Linked DNA regions of Arabidopsis thaliana. The main gene of each other region encodes a partner of the protein of the gene in region 2 in a complex. Each region holds a gene or a part of one and is shown on either strand. Other genes may lie near its edges. A codon is read from its position in the direction of its gene.

Region 1 (6,793 bases), on a different chromosome or scaffold from region 2:
ATGTCTTGGTTGAAATCTTTACCGTGTACAACAAGCAATATGCTTAAACCAAGAAAGAGAGATATTGACATAACCAAAAGTGTACTAGAAACCATTATAAGTTTTGAAGGTTTTAGGTGGGTTTAAGGGTTTGAATTGGGTTTGAGACATTTAGAAGGCTATTGATTGGTGAGTATTTATAGAGCATATATAATGGAGTTTTGATTCCTTAATGATTAGTTATATATTGTTAATATTTCAGTCTTTGAGCTTTACTTTAATTTTCTTTAAGAAAAAAGGTGAGTTTAGTGTGGGTAATGTGAAAAACGAAACAGCCTGGAGAGCATACACATCAAAACTATAGTGCGATACATCATAAACATTAAATTAACTATTGTTAATGTGTTACATCCTAAGCTTAGCCAGCCTAATTTAAACATCTCACTTTTTATATATATAGTGGAGTTTGTAAAATTTCAACTTTTTGGACGGTACCATTTCATCATAAATCTTTTAAAATTAATGTGATTGGCCTTTACCTCTTGATTGCGTAGACAGACTAATTGGATATAATATGATTTATAAATGGTTAACAATCAAATAATAATTTTGAATTGATGTAACGAGTAACAAATTAAAAGGATTGGTCATCGATTAATATGCTCTCTTCTTATCTCATTGTTTTGTTTCTCTCGGAGTTGTCAATTTACACAGCACAAACAAAAGTCTTGAAATTCTCTACAACTACTGTTACGTTTTTTTTCCGGCGAGCTGAGCTGAACGCAAATAATCTCCCTCTTCTCTACTAATCTCACCGGAAACAAAAAAAAAACTTTCTATCCTCCTCCGACGTCGTTAGACACACAAACACTCATACAATGATACAAACTCTCATACCAACTGAAGTGTGACTAATATGGCATCATCAGCATCATGTCACCACTTCCACTAGCAGTTGACAATGGTCGCTTTCGAGGTACAGGGAGTTCCAGAATGATGAGGAAATAGGACCGTTCTGATTCTCGGATGTATTGAACCTCACCGTTCATTAGCTTTAAAATCTTTCGACATACGCTTAGACCTAAACCTTCAGGGCTTGTCCACCTGCTGCTATGGAACATGTCTCGGACTAGCTCTGGAGGCAGACCTTCACCTGGACACGCCATTCTGCAAACAACGAATAAAGACATAACAAAGACACCAACACATGAAACCCAAGTTTTACACTTTTGAGCTGGTTTTCATCAATTTGAAAACATTACATTCCTTGACTGCTAATTCTAGGCCTATGGATGTGTCTAAAAGTTCCCAAGTCGACTAAACCGAATACAAAAATCAAACTAATCTAGGTTCCAACTAAACAATAACCAAAACAAATAGTGAATTGGTTAAAACCTCAAATTCTTTAAACGCCTAAATCAAATTCGTAATTAACCAAACCAAATTCATTTTCTTTATGTACAAAATAAGGAACCAAAAAAACCGGATTGCATAATTTTGGTTATGGATATGTGGAGACAACAGCGGGAACAATGAAATGTACCTGAATTCTGTGCGGATGGCGGCGAATCCATCAGCCATTTGCTTTGAAAGTTGGCTTAAATGGATCTCCACCCACTCTTGAGATGGTGCATACCGGATTATACTCAGCAGAAACTCAGCCAGGAGCTGTTGAATCCTTATCTGGTCTCCAAAAACCTCTATTGATTTGATCTCTTCGGGAATGTCACGGATCAGCTGAAGACCTCTGTCCCTTAATAAGAACATCGCTTGACTTACAATCGCGTTTATGACACTTCCAAGGAAAAACTCTTCCCTCTTTAGCACAAATGAACTGATCAATGAAAAAAACAAAATTTGGGATTTGGTCACATTTTGTGAAGTAAGCAAAACTAGCTTCTAGATAAATTCTAACTATACTCACCCGTCTTCAATGCTTTCAAGATCCATGTCCCCGACGATCCTTGAGATCTGTTTCTCGCAAGAAACACTTGTTTCAAGTAACTGCTTCTGGTCCTCGTTCAAGTCTGTGGCCTCCAACAATGAGTTTGCGAAACGCATACCGCTCAAAGGATTCTTTATCACCTGACAAATATAAGCCAACTCTTTTGCCTTCGTGAAACACTCTGTGTCCTGCCTCCGTTGGACTGCTAAAGCTTGCTGCAGCTCAGGGCTCGGGATTTGCAAGAAACAGAAAGCCCCAATAACCTTTCCCTCGAGGCTAACCCGCTTGTTTGCAGTCAATAGAGCCTGAACAAACTTCCCATTGCGGTCAAAGAATGGGAAAGGGAACTTATCCGTATCTTGGCCACCAATCGCATTATGCAATACAATCATGAACTTGGTTAAAGCATCAGGACCCTTTAGCATGCAACAGCTCCCAAACACTTCCCCGACAATCATTTTCCCAATCACTTCACTGCGAGACCAACCCGTAAGCTTTTCCATCGCCATGTTCCATTCCAGGCAGCACGTGTTCTCGTCAGCAGCAAAAATTGGCGGGATTAGAGGGTTTGGGCTATGTACAATAGCCTTGTAATCTCCTTGTATGTTGATGAACTTATCCATTACGATTTTCTGACTAGTAACGTCTTGTCCAACAAAACAAACGCCGACAATGTTGTTCAAGTAGTCCTTGCTGGAACAAGCATTCACAACCACAAAAACTGCTTTCCCTTGTAGTTCGGGGCTGAAAGTTTTCAGCTTAACCTCCACATTCTTTTCCTCGTCCCCTGCATTGCCAAATGCAACAAAATAATCAAATACCCGCGAATTGGTATATACACCGCAGATACAACATAGCTGAAGAACTGAATATACCTCTCAAAGCACGAGAAAGAAGCTTATTGACAGTTGCTTCATTCTCTTTGTATATTAAATCAGAAACCAGAGACTTCCCCATAGCTTCTTCAACTGAGAGACCTGTCAACTCTGCAATCTTAGCGTTCCATCCATTGATGCAGCCTCCGGCATCCACAGCGAATATAGGAACAGTTGCAGTCTCAATGAGCCTAACCATCTCTCTTGCAACTGCACCTAACTCATCAATCCCCTGTTCCCCCGCCATATCCCTACATGGCTGAACCACACCATCCACAACTTTAGAGTTCATAGCCGCCTCAGATTCTTTAAAAGAGTCTCTCAGAATAAGCTGGAGCGAGTGAATCGCATCCATTTCCGCAGTTTCCCATGGCTGACTCCGGCTCTTAACAACTTCAAGAAAAGCCTGAAAGGACGAACGAGGATGCATTCGTTGCCCATCATCTTTATCCTCCGGATGATGCTTAGCGCCTCCCCATTTGATTTCTTTCGCAGTGTGAGATCGAAACCAAAAAAGAAAGTCTCTTTTTGTGATATATGCAACTGCCATACCGCACACAGCATCCCCTAACGCAGCTGCACCGGGATACCCCGCATCGCCTAAACTATCAGTGCTTAATCCGGTTGAATCCGCATGATTCGCAAGCAACCACTCCACAACATCTTTTATCTGAACTTCACTAGGAGCAACACCCAACGGGTAATACTTCCCGTGGTAAAGAAATGCTGCACCGTCACATTTCACTAAGTCCATGATACTGGGACTCTGTGTAACAATTCCAGCAGGCGAGTCACGCAGAAGCATATCACATAACAGTGTCTGCGTTCTCAAAACGCGTTTCTCTGACATTTGCAAAGCTAACTGCAATTCCATGTTTAACTGTAAACCGAAAGCCTGCATCAAAAACTCACAAGCATACCTTAGCGGAAACGGTATGCAGCGAGAAGAAGTGTGATGGCAAACAACCAAACCCCAAAGCCTCATCGAGCTTCTTCCACTAGCTACATTGCTCCCATCATCTTCATTTCCATTGATTATAACCGCCATTGCTAAAGACGCAATAGATCCCATGTTAGCCATATACTGAGAGTGACAACCATGAGGAGCCCTAAGAGTAGAACCAACCAAGCACATAGACTGAGTTAGCCTATCGTCCTGGACCACAAGAACAGGTGTGGCATTGCAATCTACTATCATTCGGACACGGTTCTGCTTAAACAAGAACCTTGACGCTTGAGGAATATCAGTAGCAGGATAATGCAGTCCAATATAAGGCTCTAAATCATCTCGTTTACTCTCAGCTACAACTTCTCCATGCTCATCTTCATGAAACTTATAAACCATAACACGATCATAACCAGTCAAGTCCCTCACACTTTCCACGACAGTGTCACACAAAAGCTTAATATCTCCACCAGGAAGAGCCTGTAACTGAGAAATCGCACGAACCGCGAGTTTCTGCGATTGAACAGCACCAGCAATAGAAAGCGCAGGATCTTCAGTTCTAGCTGGCTCTAAATCAATAACAACACCAACATCAATCCTATGAAGAATGGCGTAAAACGGTTTACCAGTATTCTTGGAATGGATCCAAACCGGATTTAACAAGGTAATCTCTCGAGCAACGAAAGCACGCTCGAGTAGAATCGAGCTCGAAGAAGTGAACAAAGATCTCACATCAGTTCCCATAGCTAGAATCTCAGGTTTCTCAAGAGTAGGAACAGATTGAGGCATAATCCCTAACATTTCTCTGGCGTTTTCACTGTAACCGATGATCCGGAAACTGGATTCATCGACGGCGATCATACATCCGAAAGGCTGAATGTAACCACCTCGCTGGATTCGAGAGAGATAAGCTGTGATCTGTTGCTCAGGTACAGAGGAACCGTACGTCGTCGTTTTGAGTGATTGTGAGTAGTCGAATGATTTCCCTGATTCGCCGGATTGTTCGAAAACGGCGTGGAGTCTTGCGTCGACGGTGTACTGTTGAATTGCTTTGCTCATTGATTCAGTGTTGCTTCTTGGTCTGAGAGATTTCGTTCCCGACGATTGAGCTTGTTCTCCTCCTCTTCGGTTATTAGGAGTGTGACTTGACGACGGTTCTTCTTCTCCGCCACGGCCACCGCCACGGCCACCGCCACTACCCCCGACTCCGGAAACCATGCCGTTTGATTTTGAATTTGAGAAATTTCTCAGAATTACCTTGAGACAAGGAAGGATTTAGGGTGAATCATCATCCACTAGTTATCGGAGACGAATTCTGGTAGAGCTAAATTCTCAAGAATTTTGAACTTGAGGAAGAAGAAAATGGGGAGAATTGAGATCGGAGATAAGTGGAGAAACCAATAAAATAAATTGAAGAAGACGAAGCAAAATGTGTGCCTCTCAGATAGAGAGAGATAACAAAAAAAAATCAGAGTTTTTTTTTTTTTTGTCGTCTTCGCTTTTTGTTTCCTCATATATTTTCTGCGACTTTTTTTGTGTGGCGATTTTAGCAAATTACCTTTAAAGTTTTGATATTTATCAATTTAACCCAGAAGAGCTTTTGTTTTGTCGTTTAATGTGAGGGAGAGATTGATTGGGCCCAAGATCACGTGGGCTAATGGTTTATTCTCTCTAGTGGCCACACGTGGTTGCTGGGCCCATTGCGCGTGGGAGGGAGCCCCTGGACTTGTCGAATCGCATCATCAATTACGATTTCGAATTCGTACTATACAAGTTTGGTTTCTTCAATATCTTATCGTGGGTCAAGTCAACCAAGTGGTGTCCTCTCTATACAAATATTGAAATGTTTTATACTCTCATCGTACGTATATACTTCTCATAATTTGTACTAGATAGAATATAGAATCACATATTGGTCTCAAAGGGGTTCGAAGTAGTATTAGCACGCTCCATGCGGAATAGAATCATAAATTTTGCATAGTAAACTCGTCTAATACATAAGATATATTTTGGTCCACTTTGATATATACGTTGGATCTATATCATTACATTTTGTATAATACATGCATTGTACTACTTAGCATTACGTTTTATTGAATATATGCAATTCTTTTTTGACATATTAATGATTCTAAATTTGGATTATTTGGTGAAAGCATACAATTATGGTGCTTCGAAAAAAGAACATAAAATAAATTAAAGTAATGATAAAGAGGAAAAAAAGAGAGCAGAAAAACATATAAATGAGAAAAATCGTGTGCATGAAAAGTTAAGGGTCCATTACATAAATGATTTTGGGCCGCTCACAGTTTCATGTTAAGTCACTGCGTTCGTCCTTTTCTTTTGTTGAATGACTAATTTCTCCATCTCGTGTTGTTTGTTTTCAAAGCTCTATCATAATAAGTTAAGTATAACCGACCACTTTTTCTTTTTAACACTATTACATATATAAACATCCATGTTACCATGTATGAAGACAAAAACGATTATCTTATATACCCATAAAATATTATGGACCAAAAGTGAATAGTGAAAAGAAAACAGAAAAAAATTGGAATGACAAAAGAAAAACACACTATTCGTTGACAAAACAAAAGTTTAAATGTTTATTAGTGAGTAATGACCTCATATGTTTTGGTCTTATCTTGGACGAGATATGATTGGATGTCCACGAATTTAATCATGTACCTGTTCGCACTAGAGTGTACTAGTTCGTTGGCTAAGAATCGTCCACGTACAATAGTTTTAAACCACCAGTAATTTACCACGTGCCACTGAAATCAAATTAGCTAATAAACTACTCAATTACCAAATCACCCTTATAAACTCTCAATGATTCTTTAGGCTTGGCTGCTAATTTCTTAAAACTTTTGCATAACTTTTGCATAAATAAGAATAAGACAAAAGATGAAATTAATATAAGGGTACAATCGTAATTCAAGAATTTCCAAAATTCGTTCTTTAGTATAACGAAGAACTAGCTAGACATTATTAGGCATTGGGGCATACTTTAAAGCCCAAAACTAAGCCCTCCCATACTAATAAATC
Region 2 (5,115 bases):
GGCATCTCTAAAGTCTGGACACAGGAAAGTTGCTCTAAGGCATGCAAGGGAATTGAAGGTGGTGACTGAGAGCAGAGAAAAATGCACGTCACTTCTGAACAGAGTAGAAGAAGTGTTGAACACTATAGCGGATTCCGAATCTACGAAAATGGTACTTCAAACACTGAGAAACCCCATAGGTCGAACGACCATGTTTGGGTCTATGTAATAGTATCAATTATGGATTTTAGAAGTATCTATGTGTGTTTGGCAGGTCTCAGAAGCAATTAAAACTGGAGCTAGGGTTATGAAGGACATCAAGATCAGTGCAGATGATGTTCATGACTATCTAGAAGAACTTGAGGAAACTATTGAATCACAGAAGCAAGTCGAAAAAGCTCTCGGTAAGTGGTGTTTTGTCGTTTAAACATACATACACGATTACTTCATCAACTTTTGTGTTTAGCTAGATTTTTTCTGTTAATGCGGCAGAATCAGCTCCATATCCAGATATTGATGATGAAGATATCGAAGAAGAATTACTGGAACTAGAGATGGACCTTGAAAGTGAAAGTTCTCAGGTCCTACCAGCGACTTCAGATACTGCAGATTCACTGACTGAGATGTTCTCAGAGCTTAAACTTGGCAAGACGAAACAAACATTGGAAGAGCAAGCTACTGAGCCAGCTCAGATGAAAGATAGCGGAAAAAAGATTCTTGAAGCAGCATAGCTGAACAATGCATCTTCATTGCGGTGCGATCTCTTCTCTTCCTGTTGTTCTTAGTGAAGAAATACACTCAGTATCATATAAATAGAATAGAACCGGGTAAAGTGAGTTGAGTATTTGTATGCTATGCCTCTTGTTTGGATTCTAGAAACAATAGCTTCACTCCATTGTATAAAGTCAGCAGCTTGTTTCATAAACAGAGAGGAACGTCGAGTTATGATTTTTATCACTCCGATAGTGTTCGATAATTTATTAATGTTTCTAACATGCAGTCTTATTCATTCGAAGGAAACTAGTACTCGTGATTATTATTGTTATTATTATAGCTCCTTTCCTATATCTATATGTTACATGAACTAGAAAAGCCGGCACTAAAAAAGAGAACCTTGAGGAGATCCTTCCATGGTAGTTGTTCTGATGTCGTTGTAGTGCTTTTGTGGATCTGTATGGTTCACCTTGAGATGGCTCTAGTGTTCTCACGACTAACTCATGAAGAAGAAGACCGTGAATCCGCAGGTAACAATCATCACTGTTTACTTCATCTGCTCACGGGTTTCCAGATTTTTACCAGGGAGAATTCCTTCATCTGTTAGTTTTCCTTGATTTCTTGTGTAAGGTTGCACCATCTAAATTTGACAAAGAGTTGGGATTTGGTATTTGGTTAGGGAAAGCAGCGCACGATGGAGGGACAGATTGTGGGGAACAATTTTCCGTTGGAATGAAAGGTGCAGAGTTTTGCATTGGCATTAGTCCAGGATGGTTAAGAAACCTTAGCATATCTGCTGAATCATTAATCCCAGGCAAGCCAGCTCCTAGAACATGTGCAGGCAGAAACTGTTGTTCGCCCATTTGCATTCCCACACCCATTGCTAGACCCATCTGAGAGTAGTTCGGCCCCAAAGGCATCATCATTGATGGTGTAACAAATCTGTTACCCATCGTCATCATCTACCATCCAACATTTATACAGGTTAGGACAAAGAATCTTTAGATTGAATCTGTTTTTGATGTGAAAAAGTGTTTGAAGTATTTGTTTATTATACCTGAACTTGAAGTTGAAGGTTTGTCATATAATTGATTGCTTCATCCAACATCGATTCGTTGTCGTCCTATGGACAATATTGAGTATTTAGGGAAATGTAAGTATAGACTCTTTAAAAAGCTTTTGATCTCTTTCGAAATAAATGAAAAAGTTGGTTCTTATGATAAACCTTGTGAGAGTTAGGTAGTAGATTTTGCAAAGTACGCATTTTCTTGTTGATATCATTTCTTTGATTCTGTGTTGCACAATACCATTATACCGTTGTATCAGATTCAGTGTTCACTATGCTTTGTATCTTAAAGAGATTACTTACTCTCTCAGGTGAATTATACGCTTCTGCATTTCGTTTTCTTTTGACCAAAGCTTTTCTTGTTCTTGCAGGAACTTGTGGCCTCGCATCATCTGACTCGTCATCTAGACTCTGCGTTGAGACAAAACCTGTCTTCAGACAAGAACCTAACAAGATAGACCAAACCAAAAAAATTGTGAATCAATCCCTCTTACACTGCTTAGATACATCGATCCTTCACTGTCTTCAGTGAAACCTACGGAGGAAGTGTCAAAGCCCAATTTGAACGACCTATCAGCAACCACGGATTGCTCATCAGGAGGTATAAACTTGATCTTCTTTCGGTTATGATAATCAACCATCATCCTCTTTGATGAAGAAGCTTTCAAAGTCTCAGAATCGTCAACATGTTTATTGCTTTCCAACATGTTTGTTTCATGGGCAGCAGCAACATGACTTTGTGGAACAACCTGCGTGTCCCCGAGATTTGTGATGGCACCACCACCACCATGGATGATACTCTTCATGAAATCCTCGTTATACTCTGCCTCATACAAATCCATGATCGATTTGGTACGTTGATTATGCAGAGAAACGTTGGATCTTTGGCCCTTTGCAAGAATCTGGCCATTCTCAAACACAAGCTCCATATACTCTTGATCGCTTAACCTGCAACAATAATCGGTTGGTAAGAACATCATCGTCTGCACACAAACACACACATATATATATATATATATATATATATATATATATGTGTGTGAAACAGGGAAACAAGATTGAAGAACTTAATTTGGTCTGAAGGTGGATGATGGGGAAGTCATATTTTGTTGTCTTGTTGAATGTTCCAAAAGTTATTTCTTCAGTGGAAGTAAGTGAAAGCTAATCTTTCTTTTGTTGATCAACTTCAGACTCTTTTGCTCTTATTTTATATTTCGCTTTTCTTTCCTTTTCATTTTTTTGGTATTATTATCTCTTTCACCTGTTTTTAATTATTTTTTCAGGTGCAATGAATTTCCTGTTGTACAGTACCACTGTTTATATAAGTCGAATCTTAGCATCTTTGAGATTTTTTTTTTGATACTTTATTGTGCCTTTATAAATTATAAAAAGATTATTTAAATGCAAGGGATGTCGTTTCCAAAAACGAAATCACATAAAATACAAATAGAAAGGACTTAAAAATATAATAATAGACATCCGTCAGAATATCAGATTGCCACAACATAGACAAATATCTTTTGTAAACATCAGTGAAACAACAAATCTCTGTTTCACAAACCGATAGTACGACAAAAAAAAAAGTGTTGGGGAGGAGAGAGAGAGAGAACGGGCCAAAAAGCCCACGTGGTTGTGGGAAGAACATTCACAGTACAAGAACAATAAGGAATGGGCTGGGCCCACAAAAAATATTGATAGGACCTACAAGGTGTTTGGCAGCATTCTCTTGAAAGGAAAAAGTAGACCAAACAATGGAAGAAGTAAAAAAAGCAGAGCGTGAAGTTCACGTGAAAGCCACGTGATTCAATGTACCTTTGTGTTTTTTTTTTTGGGGGTACCCGTATGCAGTGTATTAGACACTTGTCCTCACTACTCTTCCATAACAAATGACTCACTCATGCATCCTTTTATTTTATTTTATTTTTCTATTCTATAATATTTGGTGTCCGACCAATAATATAACTTAGCCGGTTACACCAAATGATTCAGAAAAATAGTTTTCAATGTTTTGATATTTACAAGTAGGGATCTCTAGCTATTATACTATTTCAGGGTAACATTGTCGTTTGAAATATTAAACCAAGTAAAATAACATTGCACAGTAAAACATTTTGATCTAACATATTACATATACAAATACAAATTTATTGGGCCAAGAGGTTATAAGGCTTTAACCTTGTCATCACGAAAAAAGGAAAGAGATAGAGCCTAAAACTATGCATCGGCACAAGGGCAAATCAAATGTCATTTGGAAGGGAAATGACGTCATATAGAATCTTAAAAGAGAACATAATGTCACACACCCACACGTATCATTATCATGTTTTAAGATTCGGTAATTATTATTATTAAAGACAAAAAAAAAACAAATCAATCACGGGGTTAGCGCGTAATCTAACCCAAATTATTGAAATAAAATATAGTATCAATAGGTCTATTCTAAAAGGCACGAACGAAACCTCAAATAGTAGTAACACGCACGTATCTTGCTTTATCGAGTTTTCATGCATTCATATTCATTAATGTATTAAGCTTCAGCAAACTTACATTTATATATTAAATACATGAAAAGAACATCACTAATACCTCACAAGATTGCCCTCCTAGTCCTAGACTACTTTAGACTTTAGAGACCATATCTAAATCTTCCTCTATTTTGTAAACTTTGGATTTGATTCAAGAAAACATGTTTTCACTCCGTTTTAAGGGGCAATCGATACTATACATAACCTTTTTTTTGCAGCTAGTCACTGTAGACACAACTTTTCTAAATAGAGTCATAGATGAAAATCCAATAAGTATTCTTTCTAAAACTTAATTACACATTATTGGGACTTTTAAAGTTTATGGACCTCAACATTATAATTTTTGATTAAATGACTTAAATTAAAGTAGACATAAAACTAACAAATATCAACTATATTTCGAAGTTAGTGATACTTTTCCCATAAATAGTATACACTGACTTTTTTCGTAAAACATGTTAAATATATACATTCAATCATATATATATTTATCATACTAACAGAAGAAATCTACATTATTGTAAAGGACTGGGAGAAATAATTTTCTAAGAACAAGAGCAACACATATTTCTTTATGATGAAATGAAATCACTCGTAAAGAAACGGGAGTAGCTTTGAAGTCATTTATCACTTGTACGTCAAACAGAAGATTAGAAGGTGAATCACTGCATTTTATGGTTTGGTTTATGATAAAGACGGTTTTTTAATTTTTAAACCGCTATGTTTTTTGTTGGTTGGTTTCGAAGCCAAAAATATATCAGAGTGGTGGTCAAAAACCTCTAATTTTGAAGATATAATAATTGGTTTATGTCAAAAAGAGATATAATAATT

Evidence for each region. The genes of interacting proteins can lie anywhere in the genome.
Region 1: the proteins of PIL2 (region 2) and PHYB are in contact, whole or in part, in a cryo-EM structure (PDB 9JLB), measured with the Arabidopsis thaliana proteins. Residues at the interface, in NP_001078329.1 of Arabidopsis thaliana: Leu12 (codon at 2,706), Ser13 (codon at 2,703), Asp14 (codon at 2,700), Gln15 (codon at 2,697), Glu16 (codon at 2,694), Tyr17 (codon at 2,691), Met18 (codon at 2,688), Glu19 (codon at 2,685), Leu20 (codon at 2,682), Val21 (codon at 2,679), Phe22 (codon at 2,676), Ile27 (codon at 2,661), Ala29 (codon at 2,655), Gln32 (codon at 2,646), Arg33 (codon at 2,643), Gln41 (codon at 2,619), Arg42 (codon at 2,616), Ile46 (codon at 2,604), Leu49 (codon at 2,595), Tyr50 (codon at 2,592), Ala52 (codon at 2,586), Glu53 (codon at 2,583), Tyr54 (codon at 2,580), Asn55 (codon at 2,577), Phe58 (codon at 2,568), Met59 (codon at 2,565); in NP_179469.1 of Arabidopsis thaliana: Tyr61 (codon at 4,783), Glu98 (codon at 4,672), Ile101 (codon at 4,663), Thr102 (codon at 4,660), Leu105 (codon at 4,651), Gln109 (codon at 4,639), Arg110 (codon at 4,636), Glu125 (codon at 4,591), Ser170 (codon at 4,456), Ile173 (codon at 4,447), Leu174 (codon at 4,444), Arg177 (codon at 4,435), Ala181 (codon at 4,423), Arg182 (codon at 4,420), Glu183 (codon at 4,417), Ile184 (codon at 4,414), Thr185 (codon at 4,411), Leu186 (codon at 4,408), Leu187 (codon at 4,405), Asn188 (codon at 4,402), His206 (codon at 4,348), Arg207 (codon at 4,345), Ile208 (codon at 4,342), Asp209 (codon at 4,339), Gly211 (codon at 4,333), Ala311 (codon at 4,033), Phe314 (codon at 4,024), Lys317 (codon at 4,015), Gln318 (codon at 4,012), Asn319 (codon at 4,009).

Annotation. Positions count from the first base shown.
Region 1 is NC_003071.7:8,138,249-8,145,041, reverse strand, and holds PHYB (phytochrome B), read right to left. Parts: upstream 5,280-6,793; 5' UTR 4,964-5,279; coding exon 2,800-4,963; intron 2,712-2,799; coding exon 1,904-2,711; intron 1,814-1,903; coding exon 1,523-1,813; coding exon of another isoform or gene 1,393-1,522; exon of another isoform or gene 1,147-1,392; coding exon 891-1,146; 3' UTR 581-890; downstream 1-580. Other genes in the region: XTH21 (xyloglucan endotransglucosylase/hydrolase 21), read right to left, coding at 1-95. UniProt on the Arabidopsis thaliana protein: Regulatory photoreceptor which exists in two forms that are reversibly interconvertible by light: the Pr form that absorbs maximally in the red region of the spectrum and the Pfr form that absorbs maximally in the far-red region.
Region 2 is NC_003074.8:22,987,808-22,992,922, forward strand, and holds PIL2 (phytochrome interacting factor 3-like 2), read right to left. Parts: upstream 2,903-5,115; 5' UTR 2,740-2,902; coding exon 2,254-2,739; exon of another isoform or gene 2,171-2,253; coding exon 2,063-2,170; intron 1,985-2,062; coding exon 1,919-1,984; intron 1,817-1,918; coding exon 1,751-1,816; intron 1,678-1,750; exon of another isoform or gene 1,656-1,677; coding exon 1,290-1,655; 3' UTR 740-1,289; downstream 1-739. Other genes in the region: AT3G62080 (SNF7 family protein), read left to right, coding at 1-151, 254-383, 472-710. UniProt on the Arabidopsis thaliana protein: Transcription factor.